Mus musculus: one gene and its partners. The protein of the gene in region 4 interacts with the protein of the main gene of each other region in a biochemical or structural test. Links are inferred from orthologs where the notes say so. Each region holds a gene or a part of one and is shown on either strand. Other genes may lie near its edges.

Region 1 (4,315 bases), on a different chromosome or scaffold from region 4:
GCCAGCACAGTACCTCACTCGACCCCTCAACACAGTGCAAAATGGGAGTTCGAAGACGCTGTGATCTGAGCTTTGTTTCTGCACTGGGTAAAACGTTCTGTCTCCTCCCCCTCCCGCTGATTTTTCCGCTGTGACACCTTTGCCCAACGGGCCCGCTATAGTCAGCCCCCCCTCCCAGCCTTCCCCTTTCCGCATCCAGCCCAAGAGCCTGGCTTCTTCTAGCTTAAGAATCCTGTTCCCAGCAGCCCGTCGTGTGGCGAGGGATGGGTAGTATTTGAACCTATCTTTCAGATGCTCGCGAAATTTCTGCCAGGCGGGCCCGGCCACGATGCCACAGCCTCAGGCCGCGGTTTGATCGGGAGAGGGCGTTCCACCCCCAGCCTACATCAATCTGAGTGAGCAGTCGACGTGGGCAATTCGGCCCTTAAGAAGCTCATCCATCGGTCTCAAAACTGCTTACCCGCACCAGTATTCAGCGGTAAAATTAACCAGAAAACCTCGAAGACCGAGCTTACTGTACGGTGGGGAGGCTGGGACCTCTTAGCTTTCTATCCCTCTCTGGTTTCAAGGGCTGTTGTAGATGTGGATTTTTTTAAAAATGAAAGTCCCTCATTTAAATGATATTAATAAAATAATATCAGTCAGCACGCTTATAATAAAATACATTAGAGGCATCTCTCTCTCTCTCTCTCTGGATGGCTATGGTTGCCAGTGCCAAGAGAATGATGCTCGCATCAGGGATGAGGGGCCCCTTCCTCGTGTCTTCCAGGCACTATCAGACTACCCCAGGATTCTAAATCTCCGCGGAGTAAGGGGGGGGGTGGGAGGTAGGGGGTGGGAGGTAGGGGGTGAGGTAACGCCCAGAGGTTCCTCCTCTGGCTGGTGTGGTTCCTATGGCAACCCTTAACCCTCTCTCCTTGGGTTGGGAGGGATGGGTGTGGCCGCAGTATCCCAGGGGATCTCATACCCTCTCCTCACACTCTCCCACCGGGAGAGGCAACAGGGTTCAACGGTGGTGGTGGTGGTGGGGATGCGGAGTTGAGCTTGCCGAATCTCCCCATTCCCGAGGGTTATCTGGCTCCCCTAGCAGTGAAACACAAGTGGGGTGTGGTCCTCAGGATGGCCTGGGTGTGGGGAGGGATGTGCTTCCTCTGAGGGCTCCTGCACACGAGAGTCTATCTCGAATCCCACCCATGTGGCTCTGGGTCGAACTGGGGAGTGGGCTGCCGCAAGTCTGTAGATCCAACAAAGGGTCTGAAAAGAGTGGCGAAAAAAGGATGGAGCTGCTCCGAGTGCGTAGGCAAATATCCTCGTCGAATGAAAGCTTCCCGCCTCCCCCCGCACACTCCCCCAAAAAACCAGGGCTGGGAGCGCAGATCCTAAATCACACGACGAACAAAGCAGCGAGCTCCCCTAGACGACCTCAGGTGAACGCTCTGGTGCGCACCGCTGCAGAGGCAAAACGCCAAGGCTTCCGTGTTCATCACCCCCTGTTCTTTAACATGGGTCCAAGCCGGGTCCTCCAAAGCCTGGCCACAGCTCTTGGCATGCTACGATAGAGACGTGACTCGCCGCAAAAAGATGGCACCTCGCGTTCAGAGAGGGGGGAAAAAACGGAGAGGGGTGGCAGCGGGAGGAGACACATCGTACTCCCCCCTCCTCGCCCACCCAGGTCCACACCCACTGCCGCAGTGAGGGGCGAGCCCTGCGCGCCAGCCCGCGCCTCCGGCAGGGAGCGCACATGCCGGGAGCCCGGCGCAGAACGCAGAGAAAGAAACGCGCCCCGAAATGCACCTGCAGCCCTCGCGTGGGTCTGTGCCTGGCTGCAACGCTGCGCGCCCTCGAGCGGGGAGCCGCTGCCAGCCAGCCCGCTGACACCGCGAGGCCAGGTGACCCCTGACTCTTCGAGCTCCCACATTGGGATCCGCGCACTACCTTCTCTCGGGCACGGCGCTGCCCCTGTCACTGTACCAAGCGCGCGCAGGGGGAAGGGCGACTAACGTGACAGCGCCTGGACCCCTCCCCATCCTCCGGATTCCTCCCAGCCCCCAAATGTCCCCTGCCGGCTTCTGAAGGAGGAAAAGGGGAGGGGGCGGGCCACCGCCTTAAATCAGGGCCAGTGAAGGCCGTGTCAGAATCGCTGTCAGGGAGGTGGAGAGACATGAAGGCAGTCATCTTTTCTAGAACCCGATCCACACCTTCCTTAGGGCTGATGGCAATCAGGAGCAGAGAAATCCGATTTCAGGTTCTGTTTCGGGGGTCGTCGTTGGACCCCCATGCACACTCACAGACCCACGCCCATTGCGGCAAAAGGCTGAGATCCAGATTACAGAACAACCCCTTCCCTAGGTCACCGTCATCCGCGCCCCACCCTGCGGGCACAGCCCCCCTCATTTGCGCGGAGCCGATAGTGGGGACCCCAGCACTCATAGATACACGCATTCGCTCGCGTGCGTGCATCTCTTGCACGCGTTCCTTCCCAGCTCCCCAGCGCCTAGGGCGCAGAGAGGCCCCCGCCGTTGCGCCTGATTGATGCCCAGCTCCCTAAATCCATCTCTGGGGCGAGGGGTGGCAGGAGGACGGCGCACAGGGCCAGAGGGGACTGGATTTCAGAGCTGCGGCGCTTACCTGATAATCGACAGAAGGCGAGGACAGAAGAGGACAGCGGAGGAGAAGGTGGTTGTGGCGGCGGCGGCAGAAGGTGGGCGGTGGCGGCGGCGCTGCTGCTGGTGCTGGAGCTGGTGGGTGGCGGAGACTGAGAGCGCGCGCGGCCGAGAAAGCGCGTTCTGGAGGCCGGCGGGCAGCGCAGGCGCGAGCCACGGGAGCGCGAACCTCCCTAGGGGAGGGGCGGGCAGCGAGGCCTGGGCGGGCACCTCCCCTTCCGACCGCTAGGGGGCGCACGCGAGCGCCCCTCAACCCTCCTCTCTCCGCGCCGCTCGGCTCGCCCCTCTCCGCGCTTCCCTCCCCGGGTCCCGCCACGCCTCGGGCCGCGGTGCTGACCGCCGCGCGCACGCGCATTCCGTGGCGCACGCGCACCCGGCCTCCCGGGGCTGCAGCCTTTGTCTAGTCCAGGGGTCCCCTCCCTCGGTCCCCGCGGGGTCCAGGCAGAGCGGTGTGTCGGTCATCGTCCGCTTTTCAGTTCACCCTCGCTGGCTCTCCAGGCGGTACACCGTGAACCCCAAGTGCTACAGGCTCCCCGAGTCTCCTAAAATGTGGCCCTCCAGATAGAGCGCACTTTCTATTTCCAGGGCCAGCTGTTCGCTTGCTTTCTTTCCACCTGTTTTTGTTAATGGCCAAAGTGAATGATTTCCTTGACAAATCTTCTCGAAACAGATTAACTTGACCGTAATACACTTTAGCGTTTTCGTGGAAAAACAATTGTTTTTAAATCAAGGAGCATTCAAACCCATTAGGTATCTTGACTGTGACCCTAGCGAAGAAAAATCTTTAAATAGGTAAGTTCTAATGATGCTTACCACACACACTGCAAGGCATTTTCACAGAGTTATTTTTATCTCGTTTATTGAAACACCTTTGTACAGCGTGAGAGCTGAATTTTTAAGGTGCCTGCTGGAGATGGCCACCTGCTGGATGTCAAGCTTCCGGTTGAAATTGGTCATTAGTTCTCCTTCCAGCTACGTAGGCGTGGGCTGTGGCTTTAGCTTAATATCTTACCTCCCCAAAGCTCAATTCTCTTGGACAGCTGGAGCCTGTTCAAATGCAAGGAAGAGAGACAGGCACCTACTTCTTGCCAAAGAGGCGAAAACTTGTCTTGAAGCTTTCATTTGCATGCCGTTTTTTCTTTATTTTTCAAGGCAGGTTCTCACTATGTTGCCCTGGCTGGCTTGGAGCTCACAGAGATCCCCTGCCTGCCTCTGCCTCTAGAGTGCTGAGATTAAAGGTGTGCACTGCTATCCCAGCAGTTGTTTCTAAAACTCCAACGTTGTACCTGCTCGGTGTGTTGGCTCACATCTGTAATCCCAGCATTCAGATAGGCTGAGACTTGTTCAAGATCAGCCTGGGCTATATAGCAGAATCCAAGCCAGCCTGAATTGTATTACAGGGTGAAAGTGAGTCAACAAACAAACAAACAAACACACTTCTGGGCTGGGGGGGTGGATGGTTGTGAGCCACCATGTGGTTGCTGGGATCTGAACTCAGGACCTTCAGAAGAGCAGTCAGTGCTCTTAACCCCTGAGCCACCTCTCCAGCCCCCAAAATAAAATTTTGAGATAACTTTGGGTTCAGTTTTCTAGCACCACAAACATTTTTTCCCATATGAGCTTAATTACTGAATTATTCTGGAATGACGCAA
Region 2 (4,262 bases), on a different chromosome or scaffold from region 4:
TTCCAGGTACAGCCAGGAGAATGGCATAACCATTAGGCCCTGCCACTTTGATGCGTCGAGTTACTTCATCCAACTTGGGTTGGTCCAAACGGAGCCGCTGAGTGATCTTGAGTTGGGCCACTTTGCCTCCAGTTGAGCCCTCCACAAGTAGACTGCTAGCAACTTGGAGGTCACCCTGCAACAGATGCATGTTGGAAGGGAAGTTGCTGTTCTTCAGTAGAAGCATGCCCTGCCAAGCCAAACAGAGTTTGGGAGAGGATGCTGCCACAGGAGCTGTCCCTCCATCCTGTTTCTGGGAAGGTGGCTTCTGCTTTGATGAAGAAGTGCTGGCACTGGGTGCATTGCCATCAGATCGGTCTTCCTTTTTCAGAGGGTTTTTTCCCTCTGTGGGAGCAGCTGTCCGATGCTTCCTATCCCGTTCAGCTGATGCAGAGTTTTTACGGTCTCGCTTGTCGCTCTGGCTCTTCTCCAAACTGCCCCGTCTATCTCTGACTGGGGAAGACCTTTCCAAGAGGAGAAGACGAGATGATCGATCATTGTCACTGTTGTAGCGATCTCTGTTACTGCTCAGTTCTGGACTTCGGTCAGGAGAAGGAGTGCAGTGACGCTGTTTTCGAGGCCGTTCACTCTCAGGTGATCTATCAAGATGCCGTCCTCCACTTTCCTCAGGCAGCCTTCGCTTCCTTGGCTGGTCCCTGCTGCTGGGCAAGTCCCGATCACCTCTGTCCCTGTCCAGTGACCAGCCATCCCTCCTTCGATCCAAGCTATCTAGTGGCTCATAAGCAGTGACAGCACTAGTTGCAGCCCGAGCACTGCGTTCTCGAACCGGTGGTGGGGGTGGCACCCAGTCAGAATCAGTATAAAGGTCCCTATCACGATCTCTGTATAGTAAGGGTGGTGTCCTGTCCCGAGCACTCCTCAAAGGGTCAGGTGCTCTATGTCCAAAAGTATCCGTCACTAGTTCATAGTGGGTCAAGGGCAGAGGCTGAAGATATTGCTGCTGGTAACGATGTTCTGTGTCTGCAAAGTCTACCCTGAGGCGACGATCTGGGCCACCAAGTGGGAATCCACGCATATGGGTCCAGGCAGCATGAGCTGCATCCAAACTTTCATACTGTATATATGCCCAACTGTCACCTTTACGGTAGTCTATGGTTCGAATGGTGCCAAATCGGTCAAATTCTCGTGCCAGGGCAGCAAGAGGCACCCAGGGTCCCAGACCACCCACCCAAAGTCGGGTAGTGGGTGTGGCTTTACCATAACCAATCTTGATTGGATTCCGAATTATAATTTTGCCAGACATTGCAAGTTTGGCCCTGTGAGACATGTCTAGATTCTCAAATTTGAGAAAGCCATAGGTACTGGTCTGGCCTCGAGAAGGCCTCTTAATGTCCACTTCTGTGATGACTCCAAAACGATCAAAAGCCCTTCTGAGATCATTTTCCGTCACAGTGATATCTAAGTTGCCCAAGAAAAGTGTCCGGTTGGCACGCTGATCGTCCTCAGGTGATATCTCATCCACTTCTCGGAAAGGAGCCGCACCTGCTCCAGCTCCCACCCTCGGCTCCAGGCTGTAGGCCGGGCGCACCCGGTCATAGAACGGATAGTCTCGTTCTCTTTCCAGCTCTCGGGGCAATGGTGGCGGGGGTGGAGGAGGCAGGCGGCCCAGGGCCAACTGCTGCAACCGGTAGTCTCTGTATCCCAGAGCAGCACCTCCAGGGGAAAGCGACCTCTGACCTCCCCCTCCTCCAGGGGCGTGCCGGTGGCTACCGACTGAGGTCCCGACCACGCTGGATGACGGGGCGTAAGCATCTTTGTCTAACGGGGAGCGGCTGCGGCGCCGGCTCACGTACACGGCTTCTATCTTCAGAGGCCGGTCATAGAGCACCAGGCGGCCTCTGGCATGCTTGGCCGCCCTCGCGTCCTCTGGCCTCCGGAAGTTCACAAAGGCTACCCGCTCATCCCCGCTGCCAGAACCTGAGAGGTGACTGATTTTGACACTTACATCACCGAAGCGTTTGAACTCGTGAAACAGCCCGTCCTCCACCGCCTCGTCGCTCAGCTGGGACCCCAGCTCGCTGATCTTCAGGGTCTTGTACTCCACGCCGTCCCCGCCGCCGGGCGCGGAGGAGGCGGCCCCGGAGGAACGTGACTCCCCGCCTCCACCCCGGGAGCTGCTGCGCGACTCGCCCCCGCCTGAGGAATTTTTGGTGCTCGGGGAGCTGTAACTGTGCAAGCGGCTACTGGAGCTGCCCCCGCCGGTCTCGTACTCGCGGCTGCCGCCCCGGCTGCTGGACTTGTCCAGATGAAGGCTCCGCCGCGACCCGCCGCTGTCCGTCTTCCCGCTGCTGCTCCCATTGCTGCCGCCGGAGCCCCCTAACTTCTTGCTCCGCTCCCCACGAGAACTGGAGTCCTCACCGCCACGGGAGCGCTTGGGCTTGACCGGCGAGCGCTCCTTTCCTTTCATTGTTGAGGGTCGCCGGAGGTCGTCTCTGCGGAGCTGACTAACCCGCCACCCCGCGCTCGTTTCACACAGCGGACTCGCACGCCGCCATCTTGGACTCCGCCGCGGCAAAGGCTCCCGCCCCGCAGACCTCATTGGTCAATTAATTCACTCTTCAGCCTTCTCATTGGAAAAACTATTTGTCCGTCTTTACATCTCCCCGCGCTCCGGGAAGGCGCCCGCCCCGACGCTGTTATTGGGTTCCCAACGCCCTAATCCCAGTACCTCATTGGTTATATTCGTTGTCTATCTTAACGGTTCCTCGCGCCAGGCTGTAGCTCCGCCCCTCGCACTTCATGGTCACCTGACCCAAAGCCTAGAAGCGTTGATTGGACAAAAACTCTGCCCTGTAACGGTACTTCTAGCACGGCGAACGCAGCGATCCCACCTTCTCTTCCCTTTCATTGGTTTGTGGCCACGTCTTTTAAATCACTATCGGGAAGTCTGGACATCAGTTCAGGCGTTTTTTCCTGAGAATTTGGCTCTCTCCGATCTCGCGAGAGACAAAGAGCTCGCTCGCTCACTCGCTCACTCGCTCGCTCTCTTTCGACCCCAGTCTTCCAACTTCTCCGGCGGCTGAAGAAAGTTTAAATCTGATTGGATGTTGACGAGGAACATGATTGGATAAAAGCGCTGTCCATCACTCACTTAAAGGAGTAGGCCCATAAACTGAGGCGTCTGAAGGTGAAAGACTAAGACCACGCGCTTGCTGTGCGACGTCACTTTGCTGTCGCGAGATGGTGACAGTGAGTCAGGCCCGCCTCCCCGCGCTTTCGGCGTTCTCTTAAACATTTGTTAGGTCCTTACGGCGTACTTGCCTGTGCTTCGGTCCTTCGAGTCTGGAACTTGCGGGCTCCTCACTGTCCTGTCTGGGCGGGACAATGGGCTCGGTGGTCCTTCCGGCTGCTGGCCCTCACTCGATCCGCCTAGGCAGCTGTCCCGGACAGTCCAGCCGACACCATCTTAGTTAGCTGCCTGAAAAAGCCCCACCCCCGTGCGCGAGAAAACGCCTGCCCCGGTCTGTGCGGCCCGCTGGGGCGGTGAGTTCAGGGTTCACAGAGCCTCGGGTCACGCTGACGCCCTGGGCGGTACCGAGTCACTGCCCGCCCGCGGACACAGGGAACAGCGCCGCGGAGCCCTGGCCAGTCTCAGTGGCCGCCTTAGGGCCCGCAGTGTCCTGCAAGCCCACTTACTGGTCCGACCTGCAGGACCACTTGCAGATTTTTGCTTCCTGCTTTATGTTGTGAATCCCTGTAAGGTTTGCATTTATAAAAGATGTGTGAGACATAATATAGCTGTGCTTTGCTTTAATGTGTCACACTTCTCACTGTGCGGACACTACATTTATCTCGTTTCTAGGACTCCAGCACTCCGATTAATCCATAGTAGGACCCAGTAACATGGCCACCTTGCTCCCTCCTATATCCACTTCCTTTGACTCCTTTAACCGTGATTCCCGTCTAAACGCCTCCCGTCTCCCACCTCTGCGACCCCATGCACCTGAATCTCTTAAGCTTATGTAATACTGGTGATCATGAGATTAGATGCGTAGTCTATCCCACTAGCGTTTACCTCCTGGTGAGAGGAAATAGGCTTTTTGCAGTCTTCCCAAAAATGTACCTAGGAGAGATGAGAAAGATTTTGGTATTTACATCTTCTAAGACTGAGTAGAGAATGTGTTTTAAAACAGGACATTTTACAAGGTGATAAGAATGCCCTTCCCCAAAACTTGAATTCTAAATTTATAAGCTACTTGAAG
Region 3 (3,515 bases), on a different chromosome or scaffold from region 4:
TCAGCTGCTTTTTACCAAGTTAAAGTAGGTAAAGCCCAGCAAAGCGGAGCCATGTGAGAGAGCTCACTGCCCTGCCCCATCCCAGCCAAGTGTTGTACTGGTGCCGCTCTCTATTCCTCGGGGCACCAACACTGGGTGCTAGTCACCCAGAACCTGCATCCCCACAAGCCCAACCTTGTCCCTACCAGATGTAATGGCCAAAAGGCAAGGATGACAGATCTTAGCAGATCTTGGGAACACAGAGACAAAGGGCTCACTCCTGGTTGAAGTTACTGAGGAGTCAGAGTAGTTACTTGTATTTTGTACTCCGGTCCCTGGAAGCCCGGCGGTGACCCCGGCTGTGGCTCCGGGAACGGCTGCGATGGCGCCTGTATCTATCTCGGGATCTGGAACGGGAAAACTTCCGCCGCTCTCTGGAGGTAGACCTAGACCGCCTCCGTCGACGATCCCGGGAGCGTGACCTGGAAAACCCAGATGATTTTGAAAGCTAAGATGTCACTGGGATCAAACCACCCTCGTTCCTCAACTCTCAGCATCTATTGGCCTTCAGGGTTCTTGGGATTCCTTTTTCCTCCTACAATGTACAATTTGGAAGTGAAAGTCCCCTGAATTAATCGGAAGGCCGTATCTTTCCCCTGAATGTTTCTTGAAAACATAGGTCTTGGCCAGGTAAGGTGGCATATGCCTTTAATATCAGCACTTGGGAGGCAGAAACAGGAGGATCTCTAAATTCAAGGCCAGCCTCTTCAATAAGAATTCCAGGACAGCCAAGTTATACAGAGAAACCCCATCTCAAAAAACAAAACCAACCACCACCAACCCAAAAACAAAAAAGGACTTGGACATTCCTAGTTGCTCTTCAACGGGGTCTCCCCTCACCCCAGCAGTGGCAGCGTATGTGTGAGAGCATGGGAGTCCACGTGGTATCTTTCTACTGTGCTAAACCCTAACATCTATACTCTTCACAAAACAGTCTTGTGAGGCTGTGAACATCAGTTAAATGTTTTTACAGAAAAAGGCACTCAACCTGAGAGCCCTGTGATAGATCTTGAAACCTACCTTCTGCGATCTCGGGTTCTTGATCCAGACCTAAACAGAAAGATAAATAGATGAAAAATGTTAATCCATCTAAGAGACAAAGGCAAATGGATCTCCGTGAATCTGAAGCCAGCTAAGGCAACTTAGTGAGATGCTTCAAGAGTGCATAGATGAGTCTGGCTCTGATCTTTTCTTTGAAATTAATCCCAAATATTTATCGGAGTACTTCTCAGGCATCTCAAATTGAATACAGCCAAATTCTTTTTTTTGTTGTTTTTTTTTGTTTGTTTGTTTGTTTTGGTTTTGTTTTTGTTTTTTCGAGACAGGGTTTCTCTGTATAGCTCTGGCTGTCCTGGAGCTCACTTTGCAGACTAGGCTGGCCTCGAACTCAGAAATCCGCCTGCCTCTGGATTAAAGGTGTGCGCCACCACGCCCGGCTGAATACAGCAAATTCTAACTCCTATTCCTGGTTCCACCCTCCCTGTTCTAGGTAAGGAACAACTCCAGATCAGAAACCAGAAAGGCAAGCCGGGCGTGGTGGCGCACGCCTTTAATCCCAGCACTCGGGAGGCAGAGGCAGGCGGATTTCTGAGTTCAAGGCCAGCTTGGTCTACAAAGTGAGTTCCAGGACAGCCAGGGCTATACAGAGAAACCCTGTCTTGAAAAACCAAAAAAAAAAAAAAAAAAAAAAGAAACCAGAAAGGCCAGGTAGGCATGATAATACATGCTTTAATCCCAGCATGGAGAAGCAGAGACAATCAGATCCCTGATCTACAAGGCTAGTTCCACAATAGCATGGGATATACAGAAAAACACTGTATCAAAAGACCAAGAAGAAAAGAAACCGTGAGGCCAACTTCATTCCTTCCTAAACAGTCACCAAGTCCAGTCAGTTCTACTCCAGACCGCCTACCCCAGACCTTATCACCCACACTCTTCCTGCCTCTTAACTCCCGTTAGTGCCTCACTGGTGTGGAGGCTTTTGCCAAACACCTTACATTTTGCTTCTCAATGGGCAAGAACATATTCCAACCACATATTTTATGGGAGTCTGTCCAGTGATCCCACATAACCAATTAAAAAGAAAAAAGACAGCCATACAAAGCTTCCACCCTCAAGTCCAAAGCTGATGATTTCCCTTCAAGGCACTGCCATGAGACTGCTGCTTAGCTACCATTAGTAGATCCACTTTTGCCTTCCCTATTTGATAAGGGCTCCATGGCCAGCTGTCAGAGGAGCTGTCTGGGTGAGGTTAAAAGATGGCTGGGTAGCAGTGGGACAGACCTTTAATCCCAGTCCTTAGGAGGCAGAGTCAAGTGGATCTGAGTTTGAGGGCAGCCAGGGGTCTACAGAACAAGTCCCAGGACAGCTGGAGCTATACAGGGCAACTGTAGGGGGTAGAGAGGGACACACGGACAGAGGGGGTAAGAGGAAAAGGGAGAGGGGACCCTTGTCAGCTCCTCCTTCCCTAGTTCCAATCAGTCAGTGTTGCACCTCACCACAGTGAATATGTCATAGGTTTTGCTTTTAAAGGCTACACTGGAGCCAGGTGTGATGGCATATACCCTAATCTCAGCCCTTGGAAAGCAAAAGCAGGCACATATCTGTAAATTCTAGGCCAGTCCGGATTACATTAGTAAGACCCTGCTTCAAAATAAATAAATGCATGCTTTTATATGTTTCAAACACTGATGGCTCCAAGTCACAAAACAGCAACAGCAGTTTCCTAAGGCTAGCCCCCATGCTTACCTCCTGCCCAGGCGCTCTTCTCGCTCTCTCTCCTCTCTTCTCCTCAATCGATCCTGATTTCTTTTTTCCTGTTTTTCAGCCACAGTTTTCTAAATAAATGAAAAAATGGGAAAATAAGGAGAAGCAACAGCTTTTAGGAAACAATATTCTACTCAGTTAAAAGCTAACAGAACACATGAAAAAAAAATTAACCATCATTTTCTACATTTGGTGACAAATTACAGAAAAGGGGCTGAACTTCTAAGACACAGGGCTTAAATCACAATGTTTCAAACCAAGCCATAAACTGTTCCTCCTACAGCCTCTCCATAAGCTTTGTAGTAAGAAATGTTAGTTAAAGAAACTTAACTCAGACCAAAAGCAATAGCACCCTGCTGTTGGGAGTAGAGATGTAGGTACCCAGAAAACAGCTCCCTTTTGATTTGGTGTGTGCTATGATAATATCAGCACAATTCATCAAGCTTGATCCTATATGCAACAGAAGCAGGAGGCTCTGAGAACCTCTACCACCAAATCAGCATCAACTTAAGTTAGCTTGAATGTGTCAAGAACCTCTACACACACCAATAATGCTGAGGGAGGGAGGATGAGAGGACAGTGAGAACACAAAGGAAAGAATGGGACTGAACAGACAGTTCAGCAGGTAAGCTGCTCTGCCATGGGACCTAGAACTTTAGAGCCCACATGTGAGTAAAAACTGGCTCTAACTCCTAGGGATCTGTTGCCCT
Region 4 (3,515 bases):
ACGGTTTCCCACTCCTGCTGAAGAGGCATCACTGAGTGCCGCCCTGGCATTAGTCTTCTCTTTCCTCCTCTTAACGGCCAGGCCAGAGTGTGAGAACACGCCTTGAGAGGCATTTACTGGGAAGCAGCTCTCTTTAACTAACAGGGCAGTCATATCCTTTATTTTTAAAGATATGATGGGTACTTACATGTGTTGGAGAAAAACAACACAGCAAAACTGTGATCAGCTGCCTATGTGATGATTATAAAATCAGGGCCCCTGTCCTAAAGCAGACTTGGGTCTGACAGAGCACAGCATCTCAGCAGAAGACAGCCTGACCACCCAGCACTGTAGATGCAACAAGGCACCCCAGGTTGGGACTCTCTACTAGCTACCCAAGTAACATTTAATAGCCAGTTAACACGTAATCGTAGAAGCTGGACCAATCTCTGATAATGGAAAGACAAATCTGGCTCAAATTCCAAGTAGATGAGAATGTTTTGTGTCTGTAAAACAATTCAATAATCTGCAAGCCAAGAGGCATATCTGGAATCCCTGATAGGATGAAAGAGAAGTTGGGCGCAACAGAGGCTCGGTTCCAAGGATAGCCTGGCTGTGTGCTCGCCCCTCTTTAGTCTTGTGTTCATCCTTCTCATTACAGCTACTTCTCATTGTTCTACAGTGAAATCATCAGATATGTGTTCTTTCAAAGATAATTATTTTGAACAGCACTTGGGTTTCCAATGTAGTGTTTAAAAAAGGCTATCAATGAAACTATTTGTAAAAAAAAGAATGAAGGGGGCTGGAGAGATGACTCAGCAGTTAAAAGCACTCACTGAGTGCTGAGAGGTCCTGAGTTCAATTCCCAGCAACCACATGGTGTCTCACAACCATCTGTAATGGTATCTGATGCCCTCTTTTGGTGTGTCTGAAGACAGAGACAGTGTACTGACATAAAATAATTAAATCCTGAAAGAAAGAAAGAAAGAAAGAAAGAAAGAAAGAAAGAAAGAAAGAAAGAAAGAAAGGAAGGAAGGAAGGAAGGAAGGAAGGAAGGAAGGAAGGAAGGAAGGAAGGAAGGAAGGAAGGAAGGAAAGAAAGAAAGAAAGAAAGAAAGAAAGAAAGAAAGAAAGAAAGAAAGAAAGAAAGAAAGAAAGAAAGAAAGAAAGAAAGAAAGAAAAGAAAGAAAGAAAGAAAGAAAAGAAAGAAAGAAAGAAAGAAAGAAAGAAAGAAAGAAAGAAAGAAAGAAAGAAAGAAAGAAAGGGAAAGGAAAGAAAAGAGAGAGAGAGGGAGGGAGGGAGGGAGGGAGGGAAGAGAAAGAGAAAGAGAGAGAAAGAGAAAGAAAGAGAAAGAGAATGAGAAAGAGAAGAAAGAAGAAAGCAGAGAGAGAAAGAGAGAGGAAGGAAGGGGAGGAGGGAGGGAGAGGGGGGAGGCCTTGAACCGGAGCCCTTTCATTTAGATATCCAAAGAAAAATTCTATACAAATTAATACAAGATCTGAAGATGTGACTCAATTGGAAAAACACTTGCCTGGTGAACCTCTGGGTTCTGCCCTACAACTACAATAAAATAAAGAAAGACCAAGTCGAATAACTATGGCAGCAGCAGAAGCTACGTGCACACACATGCCACCTTTTCCATCAAAGAACAACAGAACCCACTGAGAAGAATGTGCTCAGCTGGCTGCTATTCACAGTGAAGACCCCTGGGACTGGCTCTGGAGTGTGAGGCTACTCATGCTTACCAATTCACAGTTTAGCAGAGATGACAAGAAGATGCACTAAGCCGGGTATAATGGCCATGCCTGTAATCTCAGCACTCAGGAGGCTGAGTTTCAAGACCAGCTTGGGCTACATTTCAAAAAAGAAACAAATAAAAAGACTGGGCTGAAAGATGGCTCAGGGCAGTGTCTGCCATGGAAGCCTGTGAGTCTGATCTGAAGAACTCATATAAGAAGGTAAGGGACAGACTGCAGCACATGCTTGCAAAATCAGCACTGGAAAGGCAGAGATACAAAGGGATGTTCCTCCTCCTGCTGTCTGTCAGGAAAGCACCACTAATGATCCTCGAAAAACAGACTCAAGCCGGGCTATGGTGGCACACGCCTTTAATCCCAACACTTGGGAGGCAGAGGCAGGCAGATTTCTGAGTTCGAGGCCAGCCTGGTCTATAGAGTGAGTTCCAGGACAGCCAGGGCTACACAGGGAAACCCTGTCTCGGAAAAAAGAAAAAAGAGAGGGGAGGGGGGGAGGGAGGGAGGGGAAGGAAGGGAGGGGAGGGAAGGGAGGGAGGGGAAGGGAAGGGAGGGAGGGGAAGGGAGGGAGGGGAAGGGAGGGAGGAAAGAAAAGAAAAGAAAAGAAAAGAAAAGAAAAGAAAAGAAAAGAAAAGAAAAGAAAAGAAAAGAAAAGAAAAGAAAAGAAAAGAAAAGAAAAGAAAAGAAAAGAAAAGAAAAGAAAACCAGATTCAAGCCCAGGAAGCTTGTGTCCCCACTGTTGTCTCAGCAGTGCTGGCACACGCTGCAAAAGCAGCCAGCACACTGTGACTGCGCTGGATGGAGGCAACTGTGCATGGGCAGATGGAGAAATCCCTTCTAAGTAGGAAGGAGAACAGAGAGCCTGCACATGTAACGGCCACATGACAGTGCTGCTAAGTGACAAGTGCTGCCACCCTCTCCTGGGAGAAGGCATCTGATTTTACCCCATGGTGTGACAAGGAGCCTAAAACACCCACACGTTTCCAGAGACTAAAGGTAACTCCTCAGATGGATCTCACTCTTGGGACAATGGTCTGCACAGGGCCTGAAGAGACCATGTCTCACAAGACATACATACCGGAGAATTCTCCCAATGCTTAAAGACCCAGGCACATTTTCCTCTTCTCACCCATTTTAAAGTGAAGGATGATCTCTAACAAGACGCCACCTCATTGAGAGCATTAAGGAGAAGCCATTTCTAGAGAAGAGAGTGGCAAAGGCCGTTCTTACCATGCAAGCTGTACTCCAAATGTCTGCAGGTGTGCTGTAGCCTGCTCCTATTAAAACCTCTATGGACCTATACTGACGTGTCTGGATATCCTCTGTGAAATGTTTATGCTGGAAAGGAATAGATGTGATAAATATTAAAAAAAAACAAAAGCATCTTCGCACACTAAATAACAATTAAAATGTAAAAAGAAAACACTACTTACCACCCAACAAGCATTTCCCAGGTCAGCAATTTTTACTCTAATTTTATCTGCATTCCGTGGATCCAGAGGGTTCACCAACAGGTCAGCCGCCCGGGTTTTTGCTGCCATGAGCAAAGAACAAAAGAATCAGCACTGGGGTCATGAGGTTTGCATGTGTGAGCACAATGCTTGCCAGGTAGAATGATTGGACAGAAAAGAATCCTGCACCTGGGATCATTCCTCCTGGGTTGTATCCAGCTCACTGGAAGCCACAGAAAGATAAGCAAGGGTGACCAATCACTTCTAAGCAGTTGGCTTGATGCCATCTGAGCAGCAGCTTGAGGCTGACAGCAACCCTATTCCAGCTTCCT
Region 5 (4,118 bases), on a different chromosome or scaffold from region 4:
TAATTACGTTTACCCTACATTGATAGGCTTTAAATAATTAAAGAAATTCTATGGGGTCACAGTCAATAGGTAACAAAGTCTAAATAAGATACAGAACTAACCTTTCAACTAACATCTTATGTTGTATGACTCCCACATCTGATGGCTACCAACATATGGCTTTGATGAGAATCTGTGTGTATGTGTGTATGTATGCATATGTACAAATACTATGTGTGTATACTTATTTAATTTGTGAAATCTGTTTGGGGGAAGGGGGAGTTAGGTCTATGTTACCACAGCAAACAAAATACAAGTTCAAGGGCAAAAGCGTGTGGAAATGAAACACAACAGTCCTATTAACAAAGCCAATTCTGAACCACTAGAAGTGTTGTACTTGTTAACATACTCACTTGAAATCTTCATTTTTTATGAACTCAACAATGATATCCTTCTCAGGTTGAATCTGAAGCATTTTCAAGGTTAAACACAAAAAAGGAGTTGGCTTTATGTTTCCACCATACACACCACCAACGAACTTTAACTCCATGGCTTTGTCCACTACAAGTTCAGCTGAAACAGCCAAAAACAAAGTGACATACATCTTAGACATATTAAAGGCTTTAGTTTTTCTTGGCCTTAGTTTTTCTTGGTTGGAAGGTTAAATAGCTAAAGGTTTAGAGTTCCTAAATAGTCAATAAGAATTTAATATTAAGAGAACAAGAGCTTATTAATAACAGCCTTAAAAAGGAAAAAAACAAAAAACCCTGAGCATGGTGATGATTGCTCAGTCCCAGCACTCAGGAGGCAGAGGTAAGCAGATCTCTGGGTCTGAGGCAGCCTAGTCTGCAGAGTGAGTTTTAGAACAGCCAGGGCTACATATGCCTGGAACTACAGCACTACAGAGAGAGACAGACCCCTCGTCCCAGTCTCCATTAATTGTTTAGTCCATCAAGGAAGGGTGGGACTCATGAGTCCTCAATCTTTATACAACAAATTATGAGGGAAAAGTCCTCTTATTACTACCAGATGCTGGTCTGGGGTGGTGTACAACTTTAATGCCGGAACTCGGGAGACAGAGGCAGGCACATCTCTGTGAGTTCAGGGCCAGCCTGGTCTACAGAGTGAGTTCCTGGACAGCCAGGGCCAGGACTACACAGAGAAACCCTGTCTAAAACAAAACAAAAAAACAAATAATCATTGTCCTGGCTTCCAGCTAAGGATAATGAGAACAAAAAAGAGCTTAAGTGATTTTACATGCTCAAGAACCACAGCCAGAGTCACACCAGGTGAAGCTGAACAAAGCTACGACAGCTGACAGAGAGCCACTCTAAAAAACTTAGGAGCCAGCGAGGTGGCTCATGCCTTTAATCCTAGGGACCAGAAGGGGAAGGCAGATGAATCTCTGTGTGTTCAAGAGAGTTCCAGGCCATCCAAGGCCCCCTGTCTCAGGGGAAAAAAACAACAACAAAAAAACCCCAAAACAAAACAGAAACCTAAAGGACTAGGGGAAGCAGGTCAAAAATGAAACTACTGACCCATTTAAGAACAGCAAGAATTTTATTATAGGAATGGTGAAGTTCCTTGAACATCTTCAAGCTGCATTAAAGGAACCCTTATCTGGTCCCTGAGATAAACAATCTAGGACCCAGCAGACTATCAATAAATAAATAAACAAATAAATTAATTAATTTAAAAAAATGGAATGGCTCAAAAAAAAAAAAAAAAAACTAAAGAAATCCTTCAGCATCAAGAAAGACCGGTCAAGCCGGGTGTAGTGGCGCACACCTTTAATCCCAGCACTCGAAGGCAGAGGCAGGTGGATTTCTGAGTTCGAGGCCAGCCTGGTCTACAAAGTGAGTTCCAGGACAGCAAGGGCTATAGAGAAACCCTGTCTCGAAAAACAAAACAAAAAAAAGAAAGACCGGTCAAGCAGGACGTGGTGGCGCACGCCTTTAATCCCAGCACTTGGGAGGCAGAGGCAGAGGCAGGCGGATTTCTGAGTTCGAGTTCGAGGACAGCCTGGTCTACAAAGTGAGTTCCAGGACATAGGACAGCCAGGGCTACAGAGAAACCCTGTCTCGGAGCCCACCCCCCCCCCCCCCCAAAGAAAGAAAGAAAGAAAGAAAGAAAGAAAGAAGGAAAGACCGGTGAGCCCTGCGGTGCTGGTGTATTCCTTGAATTCCAGCACTCGGGAGACAGAGGCAGTTCGAAGCCAGCAGTTCTCCAGGACAGCCAGGGCTATTACAGAGAAACCCTGTCTCGGAAAACGGAAAAGAAAAAAGAGAAAAGAGAAAAAGATCGTGTCAGATTTGTCTGTGTCCCGTCTAGTACAAGTCCAGGCACAGAGCAGTTTATATGAATAGTTGACATACTCTTCCAGTATCACCCCCAAAGGGTCCGTCCTTCCTCACTCAGACAGAAGAAACCACCCGTAAGCCGAGACGCGGGCTGCGCGCTGTCGCTCACCTGTAAGTCCAAAACACTCTTCTTTCCAGTACTTTGATTCATAGATTCGCGTCCGGATGATCTTCTCCACCAGATACTGAGGGTTGGTGCCATGGATGCTGTGGGCATCCTTCACTGTACGGTTCGCCATTTTAGAACTCTTTCAATTCTATTTCCGTCGGCTTGCTTAATACGTCACATTCAGTATTTATTTAAAAGAAGGGAAAAAAAAAAAAGGACTACCGGAGGCTAGGGAAACATTAAGGAATCCCTTGCGACCGCGGAAAGCCACCAGCTTCGTACCGGAAGCTGTGGCGTAGAACTCTTTCGCCGGAATACGCACACCCCGCACCAGAGAGGGCCCAAGCAAATTGGCGGAAGTACGTCATGAACCCCCGGGAGGGCGTGGCGAGTGTCCGAAACGCCAATCAGAATCACACTGTGGGCGGGGTTTCGGTTAGTGGCGCGAAAAGTTTTCTCCTGTGCCTTCAGTTCTTAGTCAGCTGAGAGCTGGGACTACGTGTTGTAGCCGTGGTCTCCCGGAGGAGCCAGACCTGGACGAGCGAGCGTCCCCCAGCTACTCCAGTGCCTGGACTGCAAAGCGTCGGCGAGGTGAGTGCGGGTCGTTGTCCACGGACTGCATACACGTGCACCTAGGGCCGTCGGTGCCGGCACCGCTCGCAAGCCTGTAAACCTTCTCGCCTCCCCGGAGCTCCAGGAACACTTCCTGCACTGAAGGAGACCTCGGAGAAGCGGGTGGCGCCGGCCCTCGGTGGGGAGCCTAAGGCTTTGGCTCTCCGCGTGCACTGCTTCTGAAAAGCACTCGCAACCTTTCCTCTGGAACCGCGGAGCTGGTGTTGCTCTCCGCTTTACTGGTGATTCCGCCCAGAGACAGACTTTCTCTAAGTCACTTTCTGGGACTTTGGCGTCTCCTCTCCACATGGCTTGCCCTTAAGTGAGCTTTCATCTCCAATCACTGGAGAAAACATCTAATGGCTCGTATTCTACTTTCTTGGGTCTAGCCTTCTCTTAACAATTGGAGAAATTGGGAGTTCTAAGCTTTGAGCTGTGAGATTCCTGTCACGAGGTCTTTTTAGTTTTCCATAGAAGTCGAATAATCGTAATTATTTTCTACTGTAATGGTTTTTAGACATTTTTCTGTGTAGAGCCGGCTGTCCTGTAGCTTGCTCAGAACCAGGCTGGTCTCGAATTTAGAGACTGCCTCTGCCTCAGGCCCTAGAATTAATGGCATGCACCACCACACCCTGTTTTTTCAGAATTAGATTGGGGAAGGTGCGGGAGGGGGGTTCAAAACAGAGTTTCTCTCTGTAGCCCCGTTTGTCCTGGAACACTTATAGACACACATCTCAGCCCCCTCTCCTGAGAGGCTCCTCCAGACTGTTGTTGCTAATCCTTCCTATAGACAAGTTGTTCCTCTGGCTTCAGGATGAAGTTCTGGGGACAAGTCAAACTTCTTGGAATCCATTGTTTCAATAGTTGGCTACAGTAGGATGGGCATTGGTTTATCATACCGTATTTTCTCTTAGTCTGATTATCTTAGAACAGTGCTTAGCACACAGGCCTCAAATAATATTGGTTGAATAAAAAGAGATACTATTTTTCCATTTTGTGGATTAGGAAATGGGTCCGGTGGACCTGCCACTCTGATTGGGAAGCTGTATATATTACTG

The links.
Region 1: of the proteins of Srpk2 (region 4) and Mapt, one has a biochemical effect on the other in vitro, tested with the Homo sapiens proteins (2 studies listed by BioGRID, with this or other methods). The link is inferred for Mus musculus from reciprocal best matches to the Homo sapiens genes SRPK2 and MAPT.
Region 2: of the proteins of Srpk2 (region 4) and Rbm15, one has a biochemical effect on the other in vitro, tested with the Homo sapiens proteins (2 studies listed by BioGRID and IntAct). The link is inferred for Mus musculus from reciprocal best matches to the Homo sapiens genes SRPK2 and RBM15.
Region 3: of the proteins of Srpk2 (region 4) and Luc7l, one has a biochemical effect on the other in vitro, tested with the Homo sapiens proteins (2 studies listed by BioGRID and IntAct). The link is inferred for Mus musculus from reciprocal best matches to the Homo sapiens genes SRPK2 and LUC7L.
Region 5: of the proteins of Srpk2 (region 4) and Prpf38a, one has a biochemical effect on the other in vitro, tested with the Homo sapiens proteins (2 studies listed by BioGRID and IntAct). The link is inferred for Mus musculus from reciprocal best matches to the Homo sapiens genes SRPK2 and PRPF38A.

What each region holds. Positions count from the first base shown.
Region 1 is NC_000077.6:104,229,921-104,234,235, reverse strand, and holds the start of Mapt (microtubule-associated protein tau), read right to left. Parts: upstream 2,801-4,315; 5' UTR 2,629-2,800; intron 1-2,628. UniProt on the Homo sapiens protein: Promotes microtubule assembly and stability, and might be involved in the establishment and maintenance of neuronal polarity.
Region 2 is NC_000069.6:107,330,482-107,334,743, forward strand, and holds the start of Rbm15 (RNA-binding protein 15), read right to left. Parts: upstream 2,809-4,262; 5' UTR 2,600-2,808; coding exon 1-2,599. UniProt on the Homo sapiens protein: RNA-binding protein that acts as a key regulator of N6-methyladenosine (m6A) methylation of RNAs, thereby regulating different processes, such as hematopoietic cell homeostasis, alternative splicing of mRNAs and X chromosome inactivation mediated by Xist RNA.
Region 3 is NC_000083.6:26,276,907-26,280,421, reverse strand, and holds part of Luc7l (putative RNA-binding protein Luc7-like 1), read right to left. Parts: intron 2,877-3,515; coding exon 2,788-2,876; intron 1,090-2,787; coding exon 1,060-1,089; intron 462-1,059; coding exon 294-461; coding exon of another isoform or gene 290-293; exon of another isoform or gene 1-289. UniProt on the Homo sapiens protein: May bind to RNA via its Arg/Ser-rich domain.
Region 4 is NC_000071.6:23,515,454-23,518,968, forward strand, and holds part of Srpk2 (SRSF protein kinase 2), read right to left. Parts: intron 3,267-3,515; coding exon 3,166-3,266; intron 3,071-3,165; coding exon 2,963-3,070; intron 1-2,962. UniProt on the Homo sapiens protein: Serine/arginine-rich protein-specific kinase which specifically phosphorylates its substrates at serine residues located in regions rich in arginine/serine dipeptides, known as RS domains and is involved in the phosphorylation of SR splicing factors and the regulation of splicing.
Region 5 is NC_000070.6:108,576,537-108,580,654, forward strand, and holds the start of Prpf38a (pre-mRNA-splicing factor 38A), read right to left. Parts: upstream 2,801-4,118; 5' UTR 2,579-2,800; coding exon 2,449-2,578; intron 553-2,448; coding exon 393-552; intron 1-392. UniProt on the Homo sapiens protein: Involved in pre-mRNA splicing as a component of the spliceosome.